Linked DNA regions of Stegostoma tigrinum. The protein of the gene in region 1 interacts with the protein of each later gene in a pairwise test. Links are inferred from orthologs where the notes say so. Each region holds a gene or a part of one and is shown in the gene's direction. Other genes may lie near its edges. The genes, in order: usp20, bend7, vapb and trim23.

Evidence for each region.
Region 2: the proteins of usp20 (region 1) and bend7 interact in binary tests that used the Homo sapiens proteins (3 or more experiments, as listed by UniProt). The two-hybrid records come from large-scale screens. The link is inferred for Stegostoma tigrinum from reciprocal best matches to the Homo sapiens genes USP20 and BEND7.
Region 3: the proteins of usp20 (region 1) and vapb interact in binary tests that used the Homo sapiens proteins (3 or more experiments, as listed by UniProt). The two-hybrid records come from large-scale screens. The link is inferred for Stegostoma tigrinum from reciprocal best matches to the Homo sapiens genes USP20 and VAPB.
Region 4: the proteins of usp20 (region 1) and trim23 interact in binary tests that used the Homo sapiens proteins (3 or more experiments, as listed by UniProt). The link is inferred for Stegostoma tigrinum from reciprocal best matches to the Homo sapiens genes USP20 and TRIM23.

Annotation. Positions count from the first base shown.
Region 1 is NC_081382.1:39,295,277-39,302,816, reverse strand, and holds the start of usp20 (ubiquitin carboxyl-terminal hydrolase 20), read left to right. Parts: upstream 1-4,518; 5' UTR 4,519-4,649; intron 4,650-7,540. Other genes in the region: c29h9orf78 (splicing factor C9orf78 homolog), read right to left, coding at 201-280.
Region 2 is NC_081378.1:4,517,010-4,524,932, forward strand, and holds the start of bend7 (BEN domain-containing protein 7), read left to right. Parts: upstream 1-4,828; 5' UTR 4,829-5,041; coding exon 5,042-5,102; intron 5,103-7,923. Other genes in the region: prpf18 (pre-mRNA-splicing factor 18), read right to left, coding at 3,455-3,520.
Region 3 is NC_081372.1:60,747,084-60,755,376, reverse strand, and holds the start of vapb (vesicle-associated membrane protein-associated protein B/C), read left to right. Parts: upstream 1-5,106; 5' UTR 5,107-5,165; coding exon 5,166-5,223; intron 5,224-8,293. UniProt on the Homo sapiens protein: Endoplasmic reticulum (ER)-anchored protein that mediates the formation of contact sites between the ER and endosomes via interaction with FFAT motif-containing proteins such as STARD3 or WDR44.
Region 4 is NC_081354.1:117,893,271-117,900,759, forward strand, and holds the start of trim23 (E3 ubiquitin-protein ligase TRIM23), read left to right. Parts: upstream 1-4,420; 5' UTR 4,421-4,662; coding exon 4,663-4,773; intron 4,774-7,489.

The DNA of each region.
Region 1 (7,540 bases):
GTTTGCTGGGCACAATCTTGATGCTGCGTTTCCTGCAGTACAAATAGCGCCACGTAAAGACAAAGACTGTCCTCTCCAGAAGCTTGAACCCTTAAAGCAGTTAACAGTTCAGAAATGGATTGAAGAACCTCGCCGGCTGGGCTATTCTTTGGGGCTGAGGGCAAGAGGCCTAGCTGGACCACTGAAGCCTCGGCTCTCACCTGACCTCCACCACCCTCTGCTCATCCTCCTCATCCGACTCTTCCTCTCTCCTCCTGCGGTAGCTCTTCCCCGCCGGCATTCCGGGGCCCAGTGCAACCTTCTTTTAGCTCAAACACAGTTTCTTTTCAAAACCCCGTTACTCACTAAACCACACCGACTTTCGCGGCAGACTGACAACGGAGGTCGGACCGAGGAACTTCCGGTTCAACGGACAGGTTCCGGCGACTCCCGGACTCCATTTCCCACAGTGCAGCGGGCACGGCATCATGTGACCCAGTCCCGCAATGTTGCCATTCTCACAGTCTGTGCAGTACAGATACTCACGCCCCGCAGGGATACTCACGCCTTCTTCAATAACTCACCCGAAGAAGCAAAACACTGGATTCTCGAGAAAGTCAGCAGTTTCTGTGGAAAGAAAGAGGATGTTGATGTTTCAGGACCGTTGCGAAGGCGGCTCACAGGATCCAAAGTTTACTCCAGGTCTACACCTACTTATCTCCGCGGGCCTGTTGAGTTTCTTCAGCAATTTCTGTTTTTGTCAAATGCAATATCCTTGCTCTTATTTCTTTTTACAAAAAAAAAATGTGGAGCTGGAGGAACACAGCAGGTCAGGCAGCATCAGAGGAGCGAGAAAGTTGATGTATTTTTCTGAAGAAGGGTCCTGACCTGAAATGTCAATGTTCCTGCCTCTCTGATGTTTCCTGGCTTGCTGTGTACCTCCAGCTCAACACTGTCTAATCTCTGACTCCAGCATCGGCAGTTCTTACTATCTCCTATTTCTTGTGGTCTTTTGTCCCCAGCGTATATCTCCTTAACCTTTCATGTTGTAAAAAGATCAACCACAATCTGAACTCATCAGTTTATTGAAGTATTTGTGTAGAGAGAGAGATACTTAATTAATATTTTCTATATATAAAATAATGGGAGCAGGATTATTATGCTCGACCTCTCAAGCCTGTTCTGCCATTCAGTAGGATCGTGGTGTTCTGATTACATGCTTGCATACCACTGATAATCTCTCACCTACTTGCTTATCAAGAATTTAGCTCCCTCTGCTTTAAAGATAATCAAGGACTCTGCTTATACTGCCTTTTGAGGAAGATGGGACCATCTATGAGAACATGGGAGGAATGAGCGGTGAGGGATGTCCCCCAGTATCTGTGTCAGCGGCGGTGAGGAAACGCTGCTAGGGTCACCAGAGAACGAACTAAGTGGAGGAGATTGGGGCCCCAGCATGGCTAAGCGCTCAAGAAAGACAGTTGAAATTTTAAATATTTCTTTATTTTTCTACTTAATATTAAGAAGAACTTCAATGTTAACTATTACCTTATCTCTTTATTTTTCTCGAGGTGGTCTGTAATGTTGAACTTTTAACTTTGTTTCTCTCTATCACTTTGTACCTAGATACCAAGGTAACTTGGTGACATTTGACACTTTTCACTGTACTCCTGTACTTGAGTACATGTGACAATAAAAAAATGTAAATTTCTTTCTTTTTTTCAATGACTGACCTCTAGTTCTAGATTCTCCCACAAGAAGAAACATCTTTTCCACATCCACTCTGTCAAGATTCAACGCCCGCCCACATTCCCCCCAATGATTTGAGATCTTGGACTTTTTATTAGAATTAGGAAAAATAGTTATCCAGATCCTTATAGGTTTTCAGCGCTTTCACTTTAGCCCTCAGGATTAAATTTTCTGTCATTCAATTTCTCCCTGTTGCAACTCTATCACAGACCTTTTCTTTCATCCTCGTCCCACTGAAAAATATTGAGAAGACAGAATAAAATAAGAACATGCTGGAGAAACCCAGCAGGCCCGGCAGCATCTGTGGAAAGGAATAAACACAGTTAATGTTTTGAGTTTCTTTGGAACTGCAAGTTGTTGGAAAAGTGATGATTTTGGTAGTGTAGAAAAAGAGGGAATGGAACATAAGGGAAAGTCAGGGCATCTTGGAACAAGGGTGTACACCAGAGCCCAATAACGGAGACTGGTGCTTTAAGAGGCCAAGATAATAAAATGTGAGGCTGGATGAACACAGCAGGCCAAGCAGCATCTCAGGAGCACAAAAGCTGACGTTTCGGGCCTAGACCCTTCATCAGACTGTCTGATGAAGGGTCTAGGCCCGAAACGTCAGCTTTTGTGCTCCTGAGATGCTGCTTGGCCTGCTGTGTTCATCCAGCCTCACATTCTATTATCTTGGAATTCTCCAGCATTTGCAGTTCCCATTATCTCTTTAAGAGGCCAACCGTGCTTGGGTCAGGAGGTGGGACTTTTTGTGATCAGGTTGGGAGCCACGTTCCCAGGAGCAGCACCAGGTTTTGTGATTCCTGTCTCTTGGCCCTGGATCGGAGCAACGTACCACAGAACAAAGGACAAAGTGAGGAGTCGGGTTGTGAAGAAGAGTCACAGGTCTAAACTGGTGTTTTGGTTTGGAGCAGTGTAGATGTTAACCGTAGATATTATAGGGCTACAATTGTGGCCTATGCCACCAGTAGGTGGAGCACTAAATTTGGAGTCTTGGTTTTAACTCTCATCCAACAACATGCCTGTTTTATAAGTAAGACCTAAAGAAATTACATTTGGGAGGACAGGCTGGATAATTGTCAGCATACTGGAAATTGCAATTTTATAATGTACGGATCCTCTCCGTTTGAAGAGAACCATTGCACTTTGCTTCCATTTACCCAACTCTGATCTCCCTTAAGAGCTGTCTCTTGGTTTTACATGTACCCAATCTAAGCACTTTCCTTTCAATTTTATGGCAGAAGCCTCTTCAGCTTTTTATCAATGATTGCCTTAACATACAACAGAACAACAAAGATTAGATGTGGTTTGCAATTGTTTAAAATTTTTTTGGACATGCACATAGACTTGACACTGCTGCATGGTTTCACCAATGGTACGTCATGAGTGCAAGTGGACACGTGCAGATGGATCGCAAAGGCTGTTTTAAATGGCAGTACCCTATTTTCTGCATTTGAAAGAAATATTCAGAAGCAAAACGGGAAGTAAGACTGAGCACTAGAAACTGATATGTATTATGGCAATGTGCACTGATACCATTTGAGTTGCATTTTGTCGATTTGCCACCATAAATCCTTTTTATTGTTAAGGATCTATGTTACATATAAAAATAGAAAATAGCTGCAGGGGCAGGTCTTTTGATACCTTAGGGCTACTCTGCCAATCATTATAATCATGGCTGATCATCTAACTCAATAATCCGTTTTCACTTTTTCCCCATACCCTTCAATCCTTTCTCCCCCAAGTCCTATGTCCAATAGCTTCTTGAAATCATGTAATGTTTGGCCTGAACTGGTTTTTGTGGAATCACATTCCAAATCTTGTGGAAATTTCTGAAAATGGCTTTGCAAGCCATTTAGACAGAGCACAATTGGGAATGGGTAATAAATGCGTGTTTCAGAATGCCTGATGTGTGCCAGTGACATTCACCTGCTAAGAAAGAATAAAGGTGGAAAATAATGAAAAACGGAGAGTTCTTGAGAAAATTGGCAGGTCTAGCAGCATCTGTAGAGAGAAAGCAGAGCTAGCTCTCAAGACCTGTTACCCTTCTTCAGAGATAACCCTTCTGAAGGGTCTAGGCCCAAAACATCAGCTTTCCTGCTCCTTTGATGCTGCTTGGCCTGCTGTGCTCATCCAGCTCTACACCTTGTTACCTCAGATTCTCCAGCATCTGCAGTTCCTACTATCTCTGAAACCCTTCTTCAAAACAGACCCACCCCAAGCCGCACCTCCATCTCCTACCTACTAACCTCATCCCACCTCCTTCACCTGTCCGTCTTACCTGGACTGACCTATCCCCGCCCTACCTCCCCACCTATCTTCTTTTCTCTCCATCTTCAGTCCGCCTCTCCCTATTTATTCCAGAACCCTCACCCCATCCCCCTCTCTGATGAAGGGTCTAGGCCCGAAACGTCAGCTTTTGTGCTCCTGAGATGCTGCTGGGCCTGCTGTGTTCATCCACCCTCACATTTTATTATCTTCAAAACAGACTTTTGTTTTAATTAAAGTAAGAAGCTGATTGTTTTGCTAGCATAAACTTTTTGGGCTGAATGGCCTGGCCCATGAGTCCTGGACATTCCAGGGCGTGGCCACATAGCACATGCGCACTATCCGACCGCTCGGGGGTGTGTCCCAAATGACGCCACAGCAACCGAACGTCATCCGGGAAAGCGGGAGGCGCATCGGTACGAACTACATCTCCCAGAAGGCTCAGCGGCGGCCTATGGCGTTGGAGGTCGTCTTCCATCCGGGCCACCCGTCGGGAACTACATTCCCCAGAGTGCACGCCGTGGCCCTGGAGCTCCCCAAGATGGAGACGGTGCCGCTTATTCTCTGCTGAAGGAAAATATCTCGTGAGACGTAAGCGGGGGGAAGGGATCGGGAGAAGAAGCGGGACCCGCACCGGGACATTGTAGGCGCAGGTACGCCCCGTGTCTTCCTTGTGCGCACCCGGCTGCGGATTTTGAAACTCGGCGCAAATGTACGCAGCGGTGCTTTTGTGTCGCTTTGAGGTGTCGGCGCTGAATGGGGAGGGGGCGCGGCTGGGTTAGGCACTCAGTCTGGGGGGGTGGGGGTTACAGCATGAGAGCGGGTGGGCACAACTTTGAGTCTTGGGTAGGGGGCCCCGTTTGGGTCTTTGGGAAGGGGTAGGGGTAGGGGTGTCTTGTGGGGGCGTGTTTGTGTCTGGGGGAGATCTGCTTTGAGTCTCGGGCAGGCGTTTGTGGAGTAAGTTTCAGAATCGGGTTGAATTGCAGTTGTGAGTCTGGGTGTGAGAAGGAGGATTTGCTTCAGAGTGGGGGGGTGGTGGTAGGTGTGTCTGTGCGTGCCTCTTCATCAGCCCAATTCGCTATCACCGACTTTTTAATGTGTATTTTCATCTGAATGTTCAGGTGTTTTGTTATTAAAGCCTAAAGTATCAAAGGCAATGTACACTGACTGCTGGGAATAAGCAGCTCAAGCAGTATTTTTGGCAAGAGGGAAAAAAACGTGATGGATTTCATCAGGCATTGATGTTTGCTTTGCTCCTTCCACCAATGCGAACAGAGCTGCATAATATTTTCTAGCATTTTACTTATTTGATGTTAAAATTAAAATGCGCAGCCAGTTCCGCTATCTGTGTAGCAGATTTGATGTTGAGATGGAGAAGCTGCTGACAGACAGAACCATTGGTCCCTCGCTGAGCCCATTGGCAACCTAGGTGGGGTTTGTGCAGGTTTTAACTTTTATCTGGTTTGAAGAGAATTGTTTCATGTTTAGCATTAGTCGTGTTCCACACCAATTAATTTTCAACTACTTCATCAATGACCTTCCCTCTGTCAAGAAATGAGGATGTTTGCTGATGGGTGATGCAATGTCTTCAGACACTGAAGAAGCCAGTATCTAACATTTTGAGCCTAGATGACTGTGTATCAGAGCTGATATGAATTTTGAACTGACCCACTGTGATTTCAGCACTTCCTGTTTTCAGTACAGATTCCAGCATCTACAGTAATTTTGCTCCTATGAGCCTGTACCTATTTGTTGCAAGATTTGGACAACATCCAGGCTTGGGATAATAAGTGACATTTGTTGCTGTTTAAGTCCCAGATGACGACCAATTTCAAGCAGATTGCATCTATGCATCACTCCTTGATGTTCAACGGCATTATCATCACCGAATCCCTCTATCAGTATCCTGAGGCTGACATTGACTAAAACTAAATTGGATCAGCCATCTAGATACTGTGACTGTAAGAGCAGAATAAAAGCTGGGAAATTTGTAATGACTAACTCCCCAGTGCCTGACCACCATCTGAAAGTCTCAAGCCAAGATTGTAATGAAGTAATTTCCACTTGTCTCAGTGAAAGCAGTCTCAATGACGTTCAAGGCATTTAACACCACTAATGATGTTGAAGTTGACTTGTTTGATACCCCATTGGCTACTGATACATTGGCAGCAGTAGCTACCATCGTAAGATGCACTGCAGCAATTCACCATCTCCTCTGGCACCTTTCAGGCCAGTGACCACTTTCACAACACTGGAGTGTGCTTGCATCATATGGACTGCATTGATTTAAGACCACCTTGTCAAGACAAATTTGGAGTTGAGCTATAGACGCTAGTTTCACCAGTGATACTCTTATCCTATGAATTAATTAAAAAGAAAGTCATAATGGCTACACAGTGGGAACAACTGAATTTGCTTGTAATTCCGCAAAGATTAAGTAATTGGGATTTGCTGAGTGTCAAGATTAACACATCAATAAATGTTGTCTGAACTGTGAGTCGAACAAGGAATTGTAATCCAAATAAGAATTGGGGCGTGTGATTGAGTGGAGAAAGGAAAGCACCTTTCTAATCATTATCGTATAATACAACACTCATTATCAGAGATGCTGTATTCTGAAGCAAGATATAATGCAATATTTTTTTGATAAGCGAAATTAAAAACTGAAATAACTGTGGATGCTGGAAATCAGAAATAAAAACAAGTTGCTGGAAAAGCTCAGCAGGTCTGACAGCATTTGCAGAGAAATCGGAGTTAATTTATTGGGTCCAGTGACCCTTCTTCAGAACCTTCTAAGATAAGCAGTCTGTTTCACCTCATTCTAATTTTTGTTATTTAGGAATCTTGCTGTGTAATGTTGTACTTTGCAGTTGTCTTTCAAGTGGAAATATTTTCAATTTACTTGCAATTTAAATGGCAATATCATCGAAATTTACAGACTTTTGTTTGGAAAGACATCACAATATAGAGTTGGTGTCACACTTGCTACATGGATTCTGGGAAATTAGAGATTCCAGCAGAGGACTAACAGGACATTTTTTTTTGAGTTAAGGATGTTGCCAGGATTGGAGAGCTTGAGTTAGAAGCTGGGATTTTTTTTTTTCGCTGAACCACAGCAGGTTGAGAGATGACCTGGTAGAGGCTTTTAAAATCATGAGACATTGATAAGGCGAATGGGAAAGGCCCTTTTCCCTAGGGTAGGGGAATTCAAAACTAGAGGGTATAACCTTAAGGTGAGAGGACAAAGATTTAAAAGGGACCCATGGACAAGTTGGACCAAAAGGTCAGTTTCTGTGCTGTTTGACTCTATCAGGATGTATTTTGTATTCCAAACCTTTTGTCTGACTATTCTAATTTTTTAATATATTATTATGTTGAATAAGCTTGCTGATGTTAAAGGCAAAATGTGCTGGAGAACTTGAGCTGGTCTGGCAGAATCTGGAGAGAGAAACAGAATTAATGCTTCAGTTCCACTATGACTCTTCTTTGGAGCAATTGGATACAAAATGTTAACTGTCAACAAATGTTGCCAGACCTGTTGAGT
Region 2 (7,923 bases), on another chromosome or scaffold:
CCCCACCACAACTGCCCTAAGAGGATCCCCCCTCGTTCTCACACACCACCCTACCAACCTCTGGATACAACGCATCATCCTCCGACACTTCCGCCATTTCCGCCAGTTTCCCCCCACGGTGATTGAGAACGCCCTTGACCGCGTCTCCCGCATTTCCCGCAACAAATCCCTCAGACCCCGCCCCCGCCACAACCGCCCCAAGAGGATCCCCCTCGTTCTCACACACCACCCTACCAACCTCCGGATACAACGCATTATCCTCCGACACTTCTGCCATTTACAATCCGACCCCACCACCCAAGACATTTTTCCATCCCCTCCCCTGTCTGCTTTCCGGAGAGACCACTCTCTCCGTGACTCCCTTGTTCGCTCCACACTGCCCTCCAACCCCACCACACCCGGCACCTTCCCCTGCAACCGCAGGAAATGCTACACTTGTCCCCACACCTCCTCCCTCACCCCCATCCCAGGCCCCAAGATGACATTCCACATTAAGCAGAGGTTCACCTGCACATCTGCCAATGTGGTATACTGCATCCACTGTACCCGGTGCGGCTTCCTCTACATTGGGGAAACCAAGCGGAGGCTTGGGGACCGCTTTGCAGAACACCTCCGCTCAGTTCGCAACAAACAACTGCACCTCCCAGTCGCAAACCATTTCCACTCCCCCTCCCATTCTCTTTATGACATGTCCATCATGGGCCTCCTGCACTGCCACAATGATGCCACCCGAAGGTTGCAGGAACAGCAACTCATATTCCGCCTGGGAACCCTGCAGCCATATGGTATCAATGTGGACTTCACCAGTTTCAAAATCTCCCCTTCCCCTACTGCATCCCTAAACCAGCCCAGTTCATCCCCTCCCCCCACTGCACCACACAACCAGCCCAGCTCTTCCCCCCCACCCACTGCATCCCAAAACCAGTCCAACCTGTCTCTGCCTCCCTAACCGGTTCTTCCTCTCACCCATCCCTTCCTCCCACCCCAAGCCGCACCCCCAGCTACCTACTAACCTCATCCCACCTCCTTGACCTGTCCGTCTTCCCTGGACTGACCTATCCCCTCCCTACCTCCCCACCTACACCCTCTCCACCTATCTTCTTTACTCTCCATCTTCGGTCCGCCTCCCCCTCTCTCCCTGTTTATTCCAGTTCCCTCCCCCCATCCCCCACTCTGATGAAGGGTCTAGGCCCGAAACGTCAGCTTTTGTGCTCCTGAGATGCTGCTTGGCCTGCTGTGTTCATCCAGCCTCACGTTTTATTGCTTAATATGTAATCCCCCTTGTCCCCACAACGCATCATCCTCCGACACTTCCGCCACCTGCAGTCCGACCCCACCACCCAAGAAATTTTTCCATCCCCACCCTTCTCTGCTTTCCAGAGAGACCACTCTCTCCGTGACTCCCTTGTCCGCTCCACACTCCCCTCCAACCCCACCACACCAGGCACCTTTCCCTACAACCGCAGGAAGTGCTACACTTGCCCCCACACCTCCTCCCTCACCCCCATCCCAAGCCAAGATGACTTTCCACATTAAGCAGATGTTCACCTGCACGTCTGCCAAAGTGGTATACTGTATCCACTTTGCCCGGTGTGGCTTCCTCTACATTGGGGAAACCAAGTGGAGGCTTGGGGACCACTTTGCAGAACACCTCCGCTCGGTTTGCAATAAGCAACTGTACCGGGTGGCACGGTGGCTGAGTGGTTAGCACTGTAGCCTCACAGTGCCAGGGACCCGGGTTCAATTCCAGCCTTAGGGGACTGTCTGTGTGGAGTTTGCACGTTCTTTCCGTGTCTGCATGGGTCTCCTCCCACAGTCCAAAGATGTGCAGGTCAGGTGGATTGGCTGTGCTAAATTGCCCATAGTGTTCAGGGGTGTGTGGGTTATTTGGGGATGGGTCTGGGTGGGATGTTCCAAGGGGTGGTGTGGACTTGTCGGGCCAAAGGGCTTGTTTCGACACTGTAGGGAATCTAATCTGAAAACCTCCCAGTCGCAAACCATTTTAACCCCCCCCTCCCATTCCTCAGACGACATGTCCATCATGGGCCTCCTGCAGTGCCACAGTGATGCCACCCGAAGGTTGCAGGAACAGCAACTCATATTCCGCTTGGGAACCCTGCGGCCCAATGATATCAATGTGGATTTCACTAGCTTCAAAATCTCCCCTCCCCCACTGCAACCCAAAACCAGCCCAGTTCGTACCCTCCTCCCTAACCTGTTCTTCCTCTCACCTATCCCCTCCTCCCACCTCAAGTTGCACCTCCTTTTCCCAACTACCAACCTCATCCCGCCTCCTTGACCTATCCCCTCCCCAACTATACTCTCCTCTCCACCTATCTTCTTTTCTCTCCATTTTCAGTCCGCCTCCCCCTCTCTCCCTATTTATTCCAGAAGCCTCTCCCCATCCCCCTCTCTGGAGGAGGATCTAGGCCCGAAACGTCAGCTTTTGTGCTCCTGAGATACTGCTTGGCCTGCTGTGTTCATCCAGCTCCACACTTTGTTGTCTCATATTCAAGACTGTGATTTGAAATTAGGGCAGAACTCAATTCTCCACCCCAACGAACCACACATGCCAGCATCGCACATGCCTCCCCCGCTGACCCCCAAAATCAGCGCAACTACACCCTGACCATCAAACTTAGCGCTCTCTCCCTCACCCCTGGGGACCAGCTCTCCCACTTCTGGCGTCTGCTCACTCCCGGGGCCGGCTCTCTCTCTACCTCCCCCCAACCCCGGGGGCCTGCTCTTCACCTCACACCCCCCCAGGGGCCTGCTTTCCAGCCTTGCCCCTACTTCTCCTCACACCCCACCCCTTCCCCTCAACGTCCCCCTCCATGCCTCCTGAGGGCTGGCAACGTCCCCCGCCATCCTCTCACCCCTCCCACAGGGAATGGCTCTCCCACCCCCTTACCCTCACCTCCGGGGCCAGGTGTCCTCTCCCTCTCCCCCTCCCCACTGGGGCCAGGTGTCCTCCTCCCTCCTCTCTCACCCCCACCCCCCTGGGGGCCAGCTATACCCCCACCTCTCCCTCACCCCCCCGGGGCCGGTTGTCTCCTCCCCGCCCCCACCCCCAGGGGCCGGCTGTTCTCCCTCACCCCCCGGGGCCCGGCTGTTCTCCTCCCCCTCCCCCCGGGGCCGGCTGTTCTCCTCCCCCCGGGGCCGGCTGTTCTCCTCCCCCTCCCCAGGGCCGGCTGTTCTCCTCCCCCTCCCCACCCCCACGGGGCCGGCTGTTCTCCTCCCCCTCCCCACCCCCCCGGGGCCGGCTGTTCTCCTCCCCCTCCCCACCCCCCCGGGGCCGGCTGTTCTCCTCCCCCTCCCCACCCCCACGGGGCCGGCTGTTCTCCTCCCCACCCCCACGGGGCCCGGCTGTTCTCCTCCTCCTCCTCCCCTTCCCCACCCCCCGGGGCCGGCTGTTCTCCTCCCCCACCCCCCGGGGCCGGCTGTTCTCCCTCACCCCCGGGGCCCGGCTTTCCTCCAGGAGCCGTCGTTTCCTCTCGATCTCCGCCTTCAGCTGCTCCATCCGCGCGGCCGCCGCCACAACAACGTCGTCACGTCCGGGTCAGAGGGCGAGGCGCCGGAAACCCGCCGCCGCACCACAGCGACGGCGCGGCCTAGCCGTCGATTAGACCAAATCCGCCCTCACCTTCCCCCCCCCCGAAGTAATCCAAGCCGCGGAACACCGCCAAATAACTTCAAAAGGATTCGCACATTTAAATAACTATAGACCCTATACTAAAAGTAAATATTTCATAAATAATTTTATATTACTCCACGTTTTAACAAATCATAAGAATTGGTAACTCCATTTCTCTGTCCAGAGCAGCTCCTGTTTATATTTTATTGCCTTTGAGAAGCTGCTTCCTTGAACCACAGCAATCCGTTTTCAATGGATGCAACTCTCTGAGAATCCATTCCCAAAGTTTGCTATCAACTGAGGATAAACTGGTTTTCCAGTTTCTCCTTCCCTCGTTTTAAACTTTTAGAAGACACAATTCCAAACTGTCGAGAGTTTAGGAGCAATTTATGAATAATCCATCTGCAATATCCTTATCTACTGTTTTTAAAAGCATGCAATGGGAACCATCAGATATGGAGATTTGCCGCACAATTCCTCAGACAGTACTGACTTCAGGGGTGGAGGATGTAGTGTTTCCCTCATGCAGAAAGGAGTCTCCCCCTTGGTGGAATGTCCTCCCCTGTTACACGAGGAGCGCGCCCATTAGGGAGCATGGAGTGTCCCCCTCGTGGAGGATGTAGTCTCTCCCCGGCGGAGTGTCCCCCTCGTGGAGGATGTAGTCTCTCCCCGGCGGAGTGTCCCCCTCGTGGAGGATGTAGTCTCTCCCCGGCGGAGTGTCCCCCTCGTGGAGGATGTAGTCTCTCCCCGGCGGAGTGTCCCCCTCGTGGAGGATGTAGTCTCTCCCCGGCGGAGTGTCCCCCTCGTGGAGGATGTAGTCTCTCCCCGGCGGAGTGTCCCCCTCGTGGAGGATGTAGTCTCTCCCCGGCGGAGTGTCCCCCTCGTGGAGGATGTAGTCTCTCCCCGGCGGAGTGTCCCCCTCGTGGAGGATGTAGTCTCTCCCCGGCGGAGTGTCCCCCTCGTGGAGGATGTAGTCTCTCCCCGGTGGAGCGTCCCCCTGGCGGAGTGTGAAGTGTCTCCCCGGTGGAGCGTCCCCCTGGCGGAGTGTGAAGTGTCTCCCTGGCGGAGCGTCCCCCTGGCGGAGTGTGAAGTGTCTCCCTGGCGGAGGGTCCCCCTGGCGGAGTGTGCAGTGTCTCCCTGGCGGAGTGTAAAGTGTCTCCCTGGCGGAGTGTAAAGTGTCCCCCTGGCGGAGTGTGCAGTGTCCCCCTGGCGGAGTGTGAAGTGTCTCCCGGATGAAGGGTCCCCCCCGGGTGGAGTCCTTTTCCTCCTGAGGGCGGTCGGCGGTCGGTCGCGGCTCCCTCTCCCGCTGATTGCCGGCGCCTGGTCTCCGGGAAAGTGAAGCGGCGGCTCGGGCAGACGGTGGGGTGAGCCGGTCCCCGGACGAGTGTGGGAGTTGCGGCGGGATCGATGGAAGTCACCGAGTGGAAAAGGAGCAGGAAAACGCGGAGCTTTAGGAGAGCGAATGAAGGTGAGAGAGCGCGGCCTGGACCAACATTAAACCATTTACCAAGGAAACAGTAACCAACAAGCCCATTAACCAGGGAAACATAACCCAGCCGCACCATCAACCTGGGGAACAATAACCAGCAAAGCCATTAACTACCGAAACATCAAGCAGTAAAATCCTTAACCAGAAAAACATTAACCAAAAAAAAACCCGCCAACCTGGGAACATAGCGAGATAAATCTTTAACCAGGGGAATACTAACCAGCATAAGTCACCAACTAGTTATCACAGATTGAGGAAGGGGACATCTAAATTTGAAATTAGATTTATTGCAGAAGTTAGGAGCTTCCTTTTTCTAATAGTAACTGGGATCTGGTTTTGTGATCGTTTTCAGCAGTTTGCGCCTTTGCCTGTGCTAATCTTCACTGTACCTCACTCAATTTCTACTGTGGGTGTGAAGCAAACTCAATTTCCCGAGGAATGAGCTTAATATCGCAGCTTGAGCAGCCACCAGACAGAGAGGCTCTGATTGAGGATTTATTACAATCCCTGAGTCAATCAAAATGTGAATTCTTCCTGATTAAAATTACATCTGGAAAACACCACAAATCAGTGGTAAAGGTGAACTCAAGGTATTTGGGCAGGTATGTGAATAGGAAAGGTTTAGAGGGATATGGGCCAACTGTAGGCAGATGGGACTAGGTCAGTTTATGAACCCTTGTCAGGATTGGATGAGTGAGACCAAAGTGTCCATTTCTGAACTTTTAACCTGGCTTTTAAACACAGGTTGACGGAACGCACAAACCAGATTCTGTACTTGACAAGAACTATTTGTTTATTACAAGTAAATATAATTACTGTTTATTAATGTAAGTAGATTTGAACTACAGAAACAATTATGAACCATCAACAGATCACTCTACCAGTTAAAATTCAAATGCATTTGTAAACTCCCCTCGTCACATGTACAGAGACAAACAAACAGAGACAAAAAATGGTGTTATGGATGGAAGGAAAGACTGGCAGGTGGTTCATAGTCATAGAGGTGTACAGCATGGAAACAGAACTTTTGGTCCACTTGGCCGTACCAACCAGATACCCTAAATAATCTAGTCCCATTTGCCAGCATTTGGCCCAAATCCCTCTGAAACCCTTTCTATCCATGTACCCATCCAGTTGCCTTTTAAATAATTTACAATTGTACCAGCCTCCTCCACTTCCTCTGGCAGCTCATTTCTAGACAGGGACCACCCTCTATGTGGAAAAGGTTGCCCCTTAGGTCCCTTTTAAATCTTTCCTGTCTCCCCTTAAACCAATTCTCTTTAGTTCTGGATTCCCCTACTCTGGGGAAAAGAGCTTGGCTATTCACCCTACCAATGCCCCTCATGATTATACATATGGTTATAAGGTCATCCCTCAGTATCCGATGCTCCAGGGACAATAGCCCCAGCCCATTCAGTCTCTCCCTATAGCTCAATCCCTCCAAACCTGGCAACATCCTGGCTCAAGATAATAAAATGTGAGGCTGGATGAACACAGCAGGCCCAGCAGCATCTCAGGAGCACAAAAGCTGACGTTTTGGGCCTAGACGCTTCATCAGAGAGGGGGATGGGGTGAGGGTTCTGGAATAAATAGGGAGACAGGGGGAGGCGGATCGAAGATGGAGAGAAAAGAAGATAGGTAGGGAGGGGATAGGTCAGTCCAGGGAAGACGGACAGGTCAAGGAGGTGAGGATGAGGTTAGTAGGTAGGAGCTGGAGGTGTGCCTTGGGGTGGGAGGAAGGGATGCGTGAGAGGAAGAACAGGTTAGGGAGGCAGAGACAGGTTGGACTGGTTTTGGGATGCAGTGGGTGGAGGGGAAGAGCTGGGCTGGTTGTGTGGTGCAGTGGGGGGAGGGGACGAACTGGACTGGTTTAGGGATGCGGTGGGGGAAGGGAAGATTTTGAAGCTGGTGAAGTGCACATTGATACCATTGGGCTGCAGGGTTCCCAAGCGGAATATGAGTTGCTGTTCCTGCAACCTTCGGGTGGCATCATTGTGGCACTGCAGGAGGCTCATGATGGACATGTCATCTAAAGAATGGGAGGGGGAGTGGAAATGGTTTGCGACTGGGAGGTGCAGTTGTTTGTTGTGAACTGAGCGGAGGTGTTCTGAAAGCTGTCCCCAAGCCTCCGCTTGGTTTCCCCAATGTAGAGGAAGCCACACCGGGCACAGTGGATACAGTTTACCACATTGTCAGATGTGCAGGTGAACCTCTGCTTAATATGGACAGTCATCTTGGGGCCTGGGATAGGGGTGAGGGAGGAGGTGTGGGGACAAGTGTAGCATTTCCTGCGGTTGCAGGGGAAGGTGCCGGGTGTGGTGGGGTTGGAGGGCAGTGTGGAGCGAACAAGGGAGTCACGGAGAGAGTGGTCTCTCCGGAAAGCAGACAAGGGTGGGGATGGAAAAATGTCTTGGGTGGTGGGTTCGGATTGTAGATGGCGGAAACCTGGTTCAGAGGTCTCTCAGCAGGGTTTGCTGTGCTGATCCTTTTACTGATCAGAAAGGTGCTTTTTAATCTTCTTTCTCCAGGTACTTCCGCTTGGTTGCAGGAGTCACAGGGTGAGTGGTTCAACTTATAAATATTGCTGACTTATTAATTAAAGGTTGCAGCTTACAGCAATGGTTAAGGGGAAATAAACAGCCTGAGATGGTTTTACTGCATAACAAAAACAGCTCTTTCCTGCCCATAAGTGCGATGGCTTCTGACCCAACTATTCACGCTTTCATGCTGTTCAGCTACCTGGGAACTAAGCATGGAGGCAGGCTGGAATGCTCTGTCATTGATAATTAGTCATAAATCC
Region 3 (8,293 bases), on another chromosome or scaffold:
AACACCACAGCGCAGTACAGGCCCTTCGGCCCTTGATGTTGTGCTGACCTGTGAAACCAAACTGAAGCCCATCTAACCTACACTATTCCATTATCAACCATTTGTTTATCCAATGACCATTTAAATGCCCTTAAACTTGGAAAGTCTACTACTGTTGCAGGCAGGTCATTCCATGCCCTTACTACTCTCTGAGTAAAGAGCCTACCTCTGACATCTGTCCGATATCTATCACTCCTCAATTTAAAGCTATGTCCCCTCATGCTAGCCATCTCCATTTGAGGAAAAAGGCTCTCCCTATCTACCCTATCTAACCCTCTGATTATTTTATATGTTTCAATTAAGTCACCTCTTAACCTTCTTCTCTCGAATGAAAACAGCCTTTCCTCATAATACCTTCCCTCCATACCAGACAACATCCTGGTAAACCTCCTCTGTACACTTTCTAAAACTTCCACATCCTTCTATAATGCAGCGACCAGAACTGTACGCAATACTCCAAGTGCGGCCACACCAGAGTTTTGTACAGCTGTAACATGACCTCATGGCTCCGAAACGCAATCCCTCTACCAATAAAACCTAACACACTGTACACCTTCTTAACAACCCTATCAACCTGGGTGGCAACTTTCACAGATCTACGTACATGGACACCGAGATCTCTCTGCTCATCCACACTACCAAGAATCTTACCATTAGCCCAGTACTCTGTATTCCTGTTACTCCTTCCAAAGTGAATCACCGCACACTTTTCCACATTAAACTCCATTTGCCATCTTTCAGCCCATCTCTGCAGCTTATCTATATCCCTCTGTAACCTGTAACATCCTTCCGCACAATCCACAACTCCTCCAACTTTAGTGTCATCCGTAAATTTACTTACTTCTACGCCCTCATCCAGGTCATTTATAAAAATGACATACAGCAGTGGCCCCAAAACAGATCCTTGCTGTATACGACTAGTAACTGAACTCCAGGATGAACATTTCCCTTCAACCACCACCCTCTGCCTTCTTCCAGCAAGCCAATTTCTGATCCAAACTGCTAAATCACCCTCAATCTCATGACCACGTATTTTATGCAATAGCCTACCGTGGGGAACCTTATCAAATGCTTAACTGAAATCCATATACACCACATCAACCACTTCACCCTCATCCACCTGTTTGGTCACCTTCTCAAAGAACTCAATAAGGTTTGTGAGGCATGACCTACACTTCACAAAACTGTGTTAACTATACCTAATCAAATTACTCCTTTCTAGATGATTATAAATCCTATCTCTTATAATCCTTTCCAACACTTTATCCACAACTGAAGTAAGCCTCACTGGCCTGTAATTACCAGGATTGTCCCTCCTCCCCTTCTTGAACAAGGGAACAACATTTGCTATCCTCCAGTCTTCTGGCACTATTCTTGAACATAATGGCGACATAAAGATCAAAGCCAAAGGCTCTGCAATCTCCTTCCTAGTTTCCCAGAGAATCCTAGGATACATCCCATCCAGCCCAGGGGACTTACTTTTTTCACACCTTCCAGAATTACTAACACCTCCTCCTTGTGAACCTCTATCCCGTCTAGTCTAATAGGCTGTATCTCAGTAATATCCTCGACTACATTGTCTTTTTCATGTGTGAGTACTGTCGAAAAGTATTTATTTAGCGCCTCTCCTGTCTCTTCAGACTCCATGCACAACTTCCCACTACTGTCCTTGACTGAACCTAATCTTACTCTAGTTATTCTTTTATTCCTGACATACCTATAGAAAGCTTTAGAGTTTTCCTTGTCCTACCTGCAGAAGACTTCTCATGTCCCCTTCTGGCTCTCCTTAGCTCTCTTTTTCGGTCCTCCTTGGCTAACTTGTAATTCTCAAGCACCCTAACTGAGCCTTCACGCCTCATCTTTACATTAACCTCCCTCTTCCTCTTGATAAGAGATTCAACTTCTTTAGTAAACCATGGTTCCCTCGCTCAACCACTTCCTCCGTGCCTGACAGGTACATACTTATCAAGGACACGCAGTAGCTGTTCTTTGAACAAGCTCCACATTTCAATTGTGCCCAGCCCCTGCAGTTTCCTTCTCCATCCTATGCATCCTAAATCTTGCCGCATCTCATCGTAATTGCCTTTCCCCCAGCTATAACTCTTGCCCTGTGGTATATACCTATCCCTTTCCATCGCTAAAGTAAACATAATCAAATTGTGGTCACTATCACCGAAGTGCACACCTCCCCCAAATTTAACATTTGGCCTGGTTCATTACACAAAACCAAATCCAATGTTGCCTCACCTCTTGCTGGCCTATCTACATACTGTGTCGGGAAACCCTCCTGCACACATTGGACAAAAACTGACCCATCTAATGTACTCGAACTATAGGATTTCCAGGCAATATTTGGAAAGTTAAAGTCCCCCATAACAACTACCCTGCACCTTTGCTCCTATCCAGAATCGTCTTGGCAATTCTTTCCTCTACATCTCTGGAACTTCTCAGAGGCTGATAGAAAACTCCCAACAGGGTGACCTCTCCTTTCCTGTTTCTAACCTCAGCCCATACTACCTCAGTAGAAGAGTTCTCATCAAACATCCTTTCTGCCACTGTAATGCTGCCCTTGACTAACAATGCCACACCAGCCCACTTTTACCACCTTCCCTGATCTTACTGAAACATCTAAACCCTGGAACATGCAACAACCATTCCTGTCCCTGCTCTATCCATGTCTCTGAAATGGCTACAACATCGAAGTCCCAGGTACCAACCCATGCTGCAAGTTCAACCACCTTATTCCGGACGCTCCTGACATTGAAGTAGACATACTTCGAACCACCTTCCTGCCTGCCGGTACACTCCTGTGACCTTGAAACCTTATTTACGACTTCACTACTCTGAACCTCCAGTACACTGGAGCTACAAATCAGGTTCTCATCTCCCTGCTGAATTAGTTTAAACCCTCCTGAAGAGCATTAGCAAATTTCACCCCCAGGATATTGGTACCCCTCTGGTTCAGTTGTAGACCATCCCTTTTGTTGAGGTCCCACCTACCCCAGAATGACCCCCAATTATCCAGGTATCTGAATCCCTCCCTCTTGCATCATCTCTGCAGCCACATGTTCAACTGTTCTCGCTCCCTATTCCTTGCCTCGCTAGCATGTGGCACGGGTAACAAACCAGAGATAACAACTCTGTTTGTTCGAGCTCTAAGCTTCCACACTCACTCATTGAATTTCTGCCTCACATCCCTATGCTTTTCCTATCTATGTCATTGGGGCCTGTGTGGACTACAACTTGGGGCTGCTCCCCCTCCCCCTTGAGGATCCTGAAAACACGATCCGAGACGTCACAGACCCTGACACCTGGGAGGCAACACACCGACCATGAGGTCCCACAGAATCTCCTATCTGTCCCCCTAACTATGGAGTCCCCAATGACTAATGCTCTCCTCCTCTCCCCCCTTCCCTTCCGAGCAACAGCGGCAGACTCTGTGCCAGAGACCTGTACCCCATGGCTTACCCCTGGTAAGTCATCCTCCCAAACAGTATCCAAAATGGTATAGTTGATATTGAGGGGAATGGCCACAGGGGATCCCTGCACTGTCTGCCTGTTCCCTTTTTGTCCCCTGTCTGTAGCCCATCTACATTTTTCCTGTACCTGAGGTGTGACTACCTCTCTGTAACTCCTCTCAATTACCTCCTCAGCCTCCCAAATGTGTTCCCCAAGGGATTTGAGTATTTTTCCCACTTATTTCTCTTTTCAGAGAAGGTCAGAAGCCATACGACACCAAATTATAGCCCAACTAGTTTATCTGAAATCAGAAGCTTTTGAAGCACAGATGAAGTGAAGAGAAGCACCGAGGCACAGAATTTATTGGCAGAGAGATCAAGAGATCTGACAAATGCCAGGCTGAATAACAAGTCTCTGGAACAAAAACAAAGTTGCTGGAAAAGCTCAGCAAGTCTGGCAATGCCAGTGAAGGAAAAAACAGAGTTAACGTTTCAGGCCCAGAGACCCTTCCTCAGAACCAGGCCTGAAACTTTTCCAGTGGTTTTGTTTTTGTTACTGATGTACAGCACCTGCAGTTCTTTCGGTTTTTAACAAGTCTCTGGAGGTGATCAAAAGTGTCAGATGGTGTGAGTGTCAACAGCTGAATAGCAAGTGAAGGGATGACCTATAATCTGATTAATTGAGGCAGAGAAATAATTACAAAAAATTAAAAGTAAGATGGTGAGTTTGGAGATTTAGGGTCCCCCAATGGGGTATGAGAGTTCACTGTTTGGATTCCTGGGTTTTGGTCTACTTCCAAGGGGTTTGAGGATTTGAATTTTACCCCCATGGGATTTGAGTGTTTTTCTCTTTAGCAAGTTTTGAGAACATTTGTAGCTCAGGTTGAGTTTCTGGATGTGAGTTTGCTCGCTGAGCTGGAAGGTTAGTTTTCAGACGTTTCGTCACCATTCTAGGTAACATCATCAGTGAGCCTCCGGTGAAGCGCTGGTGTTATGTCCTGCTTTCTATTTATCTGTTTAGGTTTCCTCGGGTTGGTGATGTCATTTTTCCTCTTTCTTTTGGCAGGTTTAGGGGCAGCGGGATGCTTAAAGATTCCCCATAGGGTTTTGAGAGTTCAACTTGTTTATTTTGGGGAGAGGTTAGGGTCTCCATAGGGTCACACGATGAGGGTTGAGGATTCACCCCTTGTGGTTGAGGGATTCCCACGGGGTTTTAGGATTCAGCCCATTTGTAGATGTTTGGGTTGGAAGGTTCATCTACAGGTTTTTGGAGTTTGAGGGTACCCGGGGGGGTTCAAGACTTCACCCTATGGGGTTTTCAGGTTTTGGGGTATTCCATATAGTTTGAGGGATCACCCAGAAGTTTTGTGGTTTTTAGGGTATTCCAGGTAGCTTGAGGATTCATCTGAGAGTTTTTGTGTTTTTAGCGCATTTCTAGGAGGTTGAGGATTCACCTGGGAGTTTTGGGGGTTCTTCGAGTATTGCAGGGAGTTTGAGGGTTCACCTCGGCGTTTTTGAGGGTTTTTACGGTATGCCTGGGAGTTTTGGGCTGAGGGTTGAACCATTTACTGGGATCCTGTTGCTGCAGTTCAGTCTCCGGCCACAGGGGTCAGTGCTGGGCAGGTGCTGACGTCAGCCTCTCCCTCCCTCCTTCTCTCTGTGTCGGCCATGGCGCGCCCGGAGCAGCTACTCGTCTTGGAGCCGCCCAACGAGCTCAAATTCCGAGGTAAGAGGCTGGTGCTGGGCTTGTTCAGTGTCATTTCTAAGGGCAGGCCACCCGTGTGCGGACTCCCTTCAAATTAGAGCCGCACCGGAACAGTTCAGGCGGCCGCTGACGCCGGCGATGGGAGGAGGGATCGGCCCGTCAGTGGGAACGGCGGGCAGGGGGGAGGCCGGGAACAGCAGGCAGTGCCCACGGTAACAGCTCCTGAGAATGTGGCATTGGCCTCTGGGCGACCGACACCCCAACCCTTGACACCACCCCACAATCCCCCTGTAACCCGCCCACCTCCCCACACCCCCGTAACTCATATCCCCAACATATCCCTTCCCCCCACCCCCCCCGTCCCCTCCTCTCCCCCCCCCCCCCCGTCCCCTCCTCTCCCCCCCCCGTCCCCTCCTCTCCCCCCCCCGTCCCCTCCTCTCCCCCCCCGTCCCCTCCTCTCCCCCCCCCGTCCCCTCCTCTCCCCCCCCGTCCCCTCCTCTCCCCCCCCCGTCCCCTCCTCTCCCCCCCCCGTCCCCTCCTCTCCCCACCCCCCCCGTCCCCTCCTCTCCCCACCCCCCCCCGTCCCCTCCTCTCCCCACCCCCCCCCGTCCCCTCCTCTCCCCACCCCCCCCCGTCCCCTCCTCTCCCCACCCCCCCCCGTCCCCTCCTCTCCCCACCCCCCCCCGTCCCCTCCTCTCCCCACCCCCCCCGTCCCCTCCTCTCCCCACCCCCCCCGTCCCCTCCTCTCCCCACCCCCCCCGTCCCCTCCTCTCCTCTCCCCCCCCCGTCCCCTCCTCTCCTCTCCCCCCCCCGTCCCCTCCTCTCCCCCCCCCGTCCCCTCCTCTCCCCCCCCCGTCCCCTCCTCTCCCCCCCCGTCCCCTCCTCTCCCCCCCCCGTCCCCTCCTCTTCCCACCCCCCCCCGTCCCCTCCTCATCCCACCCCCCCCCGTCCCCTCCTCTTCCCACCCCCCCCCCCGTCCCCTCCTCTTCCCACCCCCCCCCCCGTCCCCTCCTCTTCCCACCCCCCCCCGTCCCCTCCTCTTCCCACCCCCCCCGTCCCCTCCTCTTCCCACCCCCCCCCGTCCCCTCCTCTTCCCACCCCCCCCCCGTCCCCTCCTCTTCCCACCCCCCCCCCGTCCCCTCCTCTTCCCACCCCCCCCCCGTCCCCTCCTCTTCCCACCCCCCCCCCGTCCCCTCCTCTTCCCACCCCCCCCCCGTCCCCTCCTCTTCCCACCCCCCCGTCCCCTCCTCTCCTCTCCCCCCCCCGTCCCCTCCTCTCCTCTCCCCCCCCCGTCCCCTCCTCTCCCCCCCCGTCCCCTCCTCTCCCCCCCCCCCGTCCCCTCCTCTTCCCACCCCCCCGTCCCCTCCTCTCCTCTCCCCCCCCCGTCCCCTCCTCTCCTCTCCCCCCCCCGTCCCCTCCTCTCCCCCCCCGTCCCCTCCTCTCCCCCCCCCGTCCCCTCCTCTTCCCACCCCCCCCCCGTCCCCTCCTCTTCCCACCCCCCCCCCGTCCCCTCCTCTTCCCACCCCCCCCCCGTCCCCTCCTCTTCCCACCCCCCCGTCCCCTCCTCTCCTCTCCCCCCCCCGTCCCCTCCTCTCCTCTCCCCCCCCCGTCCCCTCCTCTCCCCCCCCGTCCCCTCCTCTCCCCCCCCCCCGTCCCCTCCTCTTCCCACCCCCCCCCGTCCCCTCCTCTTCCCACCCCCCCCCCGTCCCCTCCTCTTCCCACCCCCCCCCCGTCCCCTCCTCTTCCCACCCCCCCCCCGTCCCCTCCTCTTCCCACCCCCCCCCGTCCCCTCCTCTTCCCACCCCCCCCCGTCCCCTCCTCTTCCCACCCCCCCCCGTCCCCTCCTCTTCCCACCCCCCCCCGTCCCCTCCTCTTCCCACCCCCCCCCCCGTCCCCTCCTCTTCCCACCCCCCCCCCCCGTCCCCTCCTCTTCCCACCCCCCCCCCGTCCCCTCCTCTTCCCACCCCCCCCCGTCCCCTCCTCTTCCCACCCCCCCCCCGTCCCCTCCTCTTCCCACCCCCCCCCCGTCCCCTCCTCTTCCCACCCCCCCCGTCCCCTCCTCTTCCCACCCCCCCCGTCCCCTCCTCTTCCCACCCCCCCCCGTCCCCTCCTCTTCCCACCCCCCCCCGTCCCCTCCTCTTCCCACCCCCCCCCCCGTCCCCTCCTCTTCCCACCCCCCCCCCGTCCCCTCCTCTTCCCACCCCCCCCGTCCCCTCCTCTTCCCCCCCCCCCGTCCCCTCCTCTTCTCCCCCCCCCCTCCTCTTCTCCCCCCCCCTCCTCTCCCCCCCCCATCCCCTCCTCTCCCCCCCCCCTCCCCTCCTCTCCCCCCCCCCTCCCCTCCTCTCCCCCCCCTCCCCTCCTCTCCCCCCCCCCGTCCCCTCCTCTCCCCCCCCGTCCCCTCCTCTCCCCCCCCCGTCCCCTCCTCTCCCCCCCCCGTCCCCTCCTCTCCCCCCCCCCGTCCCCTCCTCTCCCCCCCCCCGTCCCCTCCTCTCCCCCCCCCCGTCCCCTCCTCTCTCCCCCCCCCCGTCCCCTCCTCTCTCCCCCCCCCCCGTCCCCTCCTCTCTCCCCCCCCCCCGTCCCCTCCTCTCCCCCCCCCCGTCCCCTCCTCTCCCCCCCCCGTCCCCTCCTCTCCCCCCCCCGTCCCCTCCTCTCCCCCCCCCCGTCCCCTCCTCTCTCCCCCCCCCCGTCCCCTCCTCTCTCCCCCCCCCGTCCCCTCCTCTCCCCCCCCCGTCCCCTCCTCTCCCCCCCCCGTCCCCTCCTCTCCCCCCCCCGTCCCCTCCTCTCCCCCCCCGTCCCCTCCTCTCCCCCCCCCGTCCCCTCCTCTCCCCCCCCCGTCCCCTCCTCTCCCCCCCCCGTCCCCCCCCGACGCTCCTCCCCCCCCGACGCTCGTCCCCCCCTCCCCCCCCGACGCTCGTCCCCCCCTCCCCCCCCGACGCTCGTCCCCCCCTCCCCCCCGACGCTCGTCCCCCCCTCCCCCCCGACGCTCGTCCCCCCCTCCCCCCCGACGCTCGTCCCCCCCGACGCTCGTCCCCCCTCCCCCCCGACGCTCGTCCCCCCCTCCCCCCCGACGCTCGTCCCCCCCTCCCCCCCG
Region 4 (7,489 bases), on another chromosome or scaffold:
GAACAAATGGCTGAAAAGATGGTGTGAGGGGGAGGGTTTCAGATTCATGGGGCATTGGGACCAGTTCTGGGGAGGTGGCACCTGTATGAACTGAATGGGTTACACCTGGGCAGGACCGGAACTGATGTTTTAGGAGGCACTTGGAAGAGTGGTTGGGGAAGGTTTAAAATAATGTGGCCAGGGGAATGGGAACCAGACCAGTAGGGCAGTAAATGCAGAAATTGAGACAGAGGTAGTAACCAGGGCAAACATGATAAGGAACAGGCAGAGAAATGCTGTTGAAAAGAGCAGGGAAGGTAGTGTGTGAAATGTATGTGTTTCAATGCAGGAAATACAATTGGCAAAGTGGATGAACTCAGATGATTGGTTAGTACTTGAGACTATGACACTATTGCCATCATGCAGACTTGGCTGAAAGAGGGACAGGACTCAGCCGAATGTCCCAGGATTTGGATGTTGCAGGTGAGATAGAAAGGAATGTAAAGGGGTTGGGAGAGTTGCATTATTGGTGAAGGAGTATCTCATACAGCTATACTGAGGGAGGATACATCAGAGGATTCATGCAGCAAGGCAGAATGGACAGAAATTGGGAATAGCAAAGATGAAATCACAATGCTGGGGGTATAATACAGGCCTCCCAACAGCCAGTGGGAGATAGAGGAGAGATTATGTAGGCAGAGTTTAGAAAGATGTGAAGGTGGTACTGAAGCTGGCAGTGCAGATAGATAAGTTAGTAAAAAAGGCTTCTGGCATGCTTGCCTTCATTGGAAGGGATACTGAATGTAATGGTAGACAACTTATGCTGCAGCTTTATAGAATTTTAGTTAGGCCACACTTGGAATATTGCATACAGTCTGGTCACCACACTACCAGAAGGATGTGGATGCTTTGGAGAGGGTACTGAAAAGGTTTATCAGGATGATGCCTGGTATGGGAGATTTTAGCTATGAAGAAAGGTTGGATAGACTGGGTTTGTTTTCACTGAAATACAGGATGTTGAGGGGCGACCTGATGGAAGTTTATAAGATTATGAATGGCATGGATAGAGTGGGAAGTATGAGGCTTTTTCTCAGCGTGGAGGGATCAATTAGTAGGGGACACAGGTTCAAGGTGCAAAGTGGGTGTGGGGAGATGGAGTTTAAAGGAGATGTGCAAGGCACATTTTTCACACAAAGGGTGGCGAGTGCCTGGAATGCACTACCAGAGAAAGTGGTGTAAGCAGACAACACGTAAACATTCAAGAAGCACTTGGACAAATACATGAAAAGAAAGGTAGTAGAGGGATACAGAGGAAACAGTTTTAATATGGAAAGGCAAATTGTATCGGCGCAGGTTTGGGGGGGCCAAAGGGCCTGTTTTTGTGCTATATTGGACTTTGTTCTTAATAATTATTGTGTTCTGTAACATAATTTGTTTGTTTTTCTTTTGCTTAATACAGGTTTATGTTTTTCTATTGAAAGTATATATTCAATCTCTGGGGGTATGTTCAGTGATTGAACTACAAGATAAACAATGAGAAATAAAACTCATAGTCCATCAAGTCAGGTTTCACTTTGTGATTTGCCTCAAATTACACCTCAATCACAATACTACAAAATTTGTAACAGAAGTCAACCAATCTTCAGTAACAGTATACCTAACAGGTTTGCAGGTATAAAGTTTTGAGGAATTCCTTGGTAAAATGACATTAAGTTGTATCAGTCAATCTCACTTATCTGCACTATATAAGAGATAATCCACTATTATTTGTTCAGATTAGATCAAAACAGATACATAATATACAAGGAACAAATCTATTTAACTAGTTATCACAATCAAATATACCCAACAGATACTTACATCAGCACTCTGTGATATCTAAGTTTGTTACATGATTAAAACTAAAGACCACAGTTCCTACGGAAGTACAAAAATAGAAATCCTGCATGTGTCTATAAATAATGCTTATCTGTTTTCATTATTTTGAGTAAGATCATTGAAAGGATATAGGAAAACAAACCCAATTCACCCACAAAGGCTATTTTTAAAGTGAGTACTTATCTGCACGATTGGGTTTTCAAACATTGACTGTTCCAAAAATAAATGTGATGGACAGTAGAAGCAAATAAAGTTCTATTAAAAATTGGCTATTCTGTAGGCAGCTTAATTTAACCTTTTGAGCTGTTTGGCTAGGCATGCTATATCAGCCTGGCTAACTCTGTGCATTTTGTAGACATCATGCACTGCCAAGCTCCTCTCTGCAACCCTATCACTATGTATGACAATAATAAATTAGCTGGTAAATTATTCCATATGTTAGTTATCATTTGAGTAAAGAAATGTTCGGCATTTGCTGCAGATTTAACAGAACACTTAGCCAGGAGAAGCAGTGTAACAGGATAGAAATAGCAAAAGAAAGTCATTTGGACAAAATATATATGTGAGATGATCAATCACAGATCAGATATAGTGCTGACAACTGCAAACTTCTGTTTGCAAGACGAATTATGTTAAAAAGTGGAAAGGGGCTGTCTGATGAGGAGAGATCTAGTGGGTTGGGCCTATACTCATTCTACTTATTGAAATAGACTAGAGTCTTTGATTTGATTTATTGTAGTCCCATGTCCCTAAGGGCAGTGAAAAGTTTTGTTTTGTGAACAGTACAGGCAGATCATAGCAAGCAAGCATTATAGGGCACCTAGACAGAGCAAGGCATTCAAGGTTATGGCTGCACAGGAGATGCACAAAGCGAGATCAACATTATTTGCATCAGACCTGTAAGCAGATCTCAGAGAACATTTAATAATTTTTACAGACTTAGAATTTCAGTGTAAAAGCACTAAACACTTATAAGAACTGTGAGAATAAGATCTGTTGCAGAGAGCTTGCAAAAGGTAGCCCGGTGTTAGTGCCATCTTGAAACTTGGAGGTTAGGGGACTTGACAGGTTAGATGTGGAAAGGTTGGTTCTCCTTATAGGACAGTCGAGGACTATAGGGCATAATCTCCGAACAAAGGGTTGCCTCTTTTAAGATAGAAATGAGGAGGAATTTCTTCTCTCCAATGGGTAGTGAATTTGTGGAATTCTTTACTGTAGAAAGCTGTCAAGGCTAGGTAATTAAGTTCATTCAAGGATGAGATAGAGAGATTTTTAATCAAGGCCTAGGAGTTAAAGGCAGGGAAGTGGAGTTGAGGATTATCAGATCAGCCACGATTTCATTGAATAGTGGAATAGATTCAACGGGCTGAATGATCCACTTCTGCTTTTACATCTTATGATCTTAAGAATGCCACAACCCAAACTGACTGAAAATTAAGCATGTACAATCTGTGTATACAGCAAGCAAATAAATGTTAGAATGTTGAACTACATAGCGACTAGCTAATACATCAGGAGAAATAGTGATAAAACTGCTCTTTCTGGTCAATATGAGCAATGCAAAAACGAAGTAATGGGGATGCCAAAAATATGATGATTGATAAACTTTTTTTAAAAAATTGTCATTGAGAAATGATTGTCACTGCAGGCCAGCATTTGTTGTGTCTCTCTTTAATTTGCTTTAGAAGGTGGTGAGGAGCTGTATTCCTGAACCACCGCAGCCTATCTAGTGTAGGTACACCACAGTTTCTGCATGTATTCAAATAGTCTTGTTTTGCTCACCAACACATAACTGAAGTGCAGAAAGTATGCAGTGGTGAAGTTGATCTCTGCTGCCGGGTGTCTGAAATATGTGAAAAAGGTTATTGGTGTGGAAAGAGGCTAGATCTGGGCTTTGCAAAATTAAGATAAATATTACTTCAAACTGTGGAAGTATGATTGGAAATAAGCCGTACTCCAGTGAAACGCTTTGGAATGTTTAATTGCATTAAATATCATTTCTAAAATTAGCTTTTACAATTAATTGTGTTCACTTAGAATGTTTAATTACATTAAATGTTAAGTAACCACAATTAATTATTATAAAAACCGATTTTAGAGATGACAATTATTTCTTCTGTATACAGAATACATGGGTGCAGACTCGTGGAGAAGAGTGGGTACGTTAAGATAGCAATTAGCTGGTATGAAAGAGGTTTCTTTCTGGAAGATTAACTATATGTGAACGAAATGAAGACGTGTCTGTCCTCAAGCCTAATTATTCTGTTGAACTCATTTGTGTTGATGAGCCGTCTGATCAACTCCCATTACTTCGTTCTTCTTTCACTAGGTTAAACTCTCGTCTTTCCCGGTTGACATACAATCTCCTTTACAGGTGGTTTCCGTGTTCTTCCCACTTCTGGTATCAACCTGGTAAAATACATTTTCTTTTGAAGAATAACGAACGCTACCCAGATATCGAACCGAAAAGCCTTTCCTACTGTCAAAGCATTGCTCCGTTGCCAACGTCTTGTCCCAAATATGGCCTTCCACTTGTCTCAATGTGAGCATGCGCAGTATATCGCACGGCACCATCCGGACAACACCATAATGGACAAGAAGAAGGACATTTGATTTAGACAAAAATTAGACCAACGCATAAGTTTCAGAAGAATTGATTAGCTACACATAAATTTGATGTTTATTAATCGCTTCGTAATATAACGCTTTTTTGTGATTTCACCTGGGATTATTACGATTTTACCGATTTAAGATATTAATGATCCCCCCCCCTTTTTCGCGGTTTGGGAGCTGGTGTGATCCACAATGGCGGCGGCTCCGTTGAAGTTGTTGCTGACACCGCTGGGGCCAGGACTTGGGCCTGGGCCTGACAGTGGCTCTCGCAGTCTGCGTGCCGTCAACGGCTGCTCGGTCAAGGTGAGTGCGCCCCCCCAAAAACGAAGCATTCGGGCCAGTTTCAGACTGGGCTCGATCTGTGGCTAGTTTTCAGGCCTGGTCTCCCTGCCCCCTGCCCCCCCGTCCTCTACATGGCTTCTGCGTACTCAAAAACACTGGACAAATCCAAATCAACCCAGTCAAACATCACTCACTCAGTTTATTGTAGATTGTTAGCAAAGCAATAGAATAGCGTTGTGTGCAGCACTTGTCAGTGGGGACCAGAAGACTCTCCACTCGTAGGAGTCACCCCGAGAATAAAGGAAGGTAGTTGGAGTTGTTAAGAAGCCAATCATCTCAGTTCAAGAACATCACTAAGCAAGATAGGTGCAGGAAAGGTATTCTTGATGACGAGAACTCCAGAACCAGGGGTCTGGAGTTCTTTATGGATAAGAGGCAAACCTTTAAGGGCTGAGATGAGGAATTTCTTCACCCCAGAGAGTGGCGAGCCTGTGGAATTCACTACCACAGAAAGTGGTTGAAGCTAAAACATTTTATTTTCAAGAAGGAGGTAAATATGCTGTTGTGGCTAACGGGATCAATGGTTAGGGATTAGAATTTTGAGTTCAATGGCCTTACTGAATGGTCTACTCCTGCTCCAATGTTTTATTCCTCGGGCTGGATATTTTCTAAGCAACCTGTTCAGAGATAGGACCACTACCACTTTACCACAGGAGCCAAGTTCCTGAGGGTAAATATTTTCAACCAACCTTTCAGACACACTGGTGGCGGGATTTGAACCCAGGCTTTATGACCTAGAGGTAGAGACAGTACTACAGTGCATCAAGAACCATTCCAGTTCCTTGGGATAATGTGATAAATTGACTCATCTTCAGCTGCTTTATCAATGATCTTGGCTCAATCATGAGGTCAGAGGTGGGAATATTCTCTGATTATTGCCTGTGTAGGCTTGGCTCGATAAATAATACGTAATGTTTGGTGTGAGACAAATGCAAGGTAAGGACCATTTCCAACAAAAAAAATTAACCATTGCCTCTTGATATGTAATGTCATTGCTGATGTCAGAGGCTTGGCATTTTGCAGTGAGTAATTTGCCTGTTGTCTCCTCAGTTTTTCCAAGTAACAAGTCAATGGCATAATCTGTTTGGGCACCAGCTGTTCACAACATTATATATATGACTTGGCTGAGAGAACCAAATGTAACATTTTTGAGTTTACTGATAAAACAAACTGATAACTGATGAACTGAAATAAGGGCAGATTGAGCATTGTCACTGGGGAGGGAACAGGTGGTAAAGGATGCATTCAAAAACCATCTCTAGGTAAAGTAGATTGTGAAGCATCTGTTTTAATCTTGGACGAGCAAAAAGGATGGGGTTGATGGCAAGGAAAGGAGTTTGTGTAGGGACTAAAGATGATGGCTGCACTCTTCTCAATATTTCAACTGCTGCTCATCTGACATGTTGAACATACCCACAGAGGGGACCAAGAGACGTGGAGCAGGCAGTATCAGCATAAACGTGAAGTTTCCATTTGATGTTGTCAAGAAAGAGTTTGTAGATGTGAAACAGATGAGGGCAATGATGGAGCTTTGGGCATCCCAAATAATGGAATGGAATAGAAAACATTGTAGTTGATTCTCTGGCTTTGCATGGATACGCAAGAATGGAACCATGCTGGTTTTGCTCCATCAAAGTGAAAGAGGATAATGATGTCAATTATACCAAAGGGTGTGAAAGGTCATGATGGATAAAGAGGAAAGTTTATCTTTTTGTAGTTGCACAGGCATTTTGGTCATCCTGTGACATCACCACTGTGTTGATGTTTTGCCTTGTGCACGTGATAATGCATTATCTCACATGAGAAAATTGGAATTTGACATGCCAAATTCATAAATTTATGTACTGTTTTCCAAGCGCTGACATTCCAATAAGTATTCTCCTGAAAAATACTTTCGTTCTATGGTATCTTAAAAAGAGAGACTTAAAAATATTTATTCTTAAACCCAACATTTGTTGATGATTTATCCAGTTTTGTGCACAACAAAACTAAGTTTCAGCTAATGTTATTGATGGAATCATCTATCGTAGACTAGACATGTATTATCTCATAAATATACAAAAGTCAGTTTTTTTAAAATGTTTTAGACAAGCTATATTAATGAAAGGTCTAATATTTAAATTTTAAAAAATTTCCATTTGTAATTTTCATTCTGAAGCTACAACGTAATTCAGCAAAAGCTGTATGTAGTTGAGGATTGCTGGTTTATTTTATACGTTTATAATATATAATTTGCAGCATGTCTTCATTGATTATTTTTAGTGTTTCTATAATAAGTGAAATAGAGAACTACTTTGGAAATAAAAAAAATTACAGAGAAATTGTAACAAAATTGGTGACTAAGACAGTAATATTTTGACGGCAGTTTAAAGATAGCCACTTTACTTGGAATGTTAAAAACTGAGTGGCTTTGGGACTATCCAGTGTCAGGAAAGGCTAGTTGGAATAAAAGTAGTAGTATTAAAATTTCCCCCTGCCTAACCCAGAAGTACTGATGTCAGTCAATTTCTTTTCACTCCAGATCACACTTTCACTTACCAGGTTGAGGTGAAGTGAAAATGTCATTGAGTTTGGTTGTGATGTTGTTATGTTATATAGCAGCGAAATGGACCCTTCGGTCCAACCATCCGTGCTGAACATAATCCCAAATTAAACTAGTCCCAGCTGCCTGCTCCTG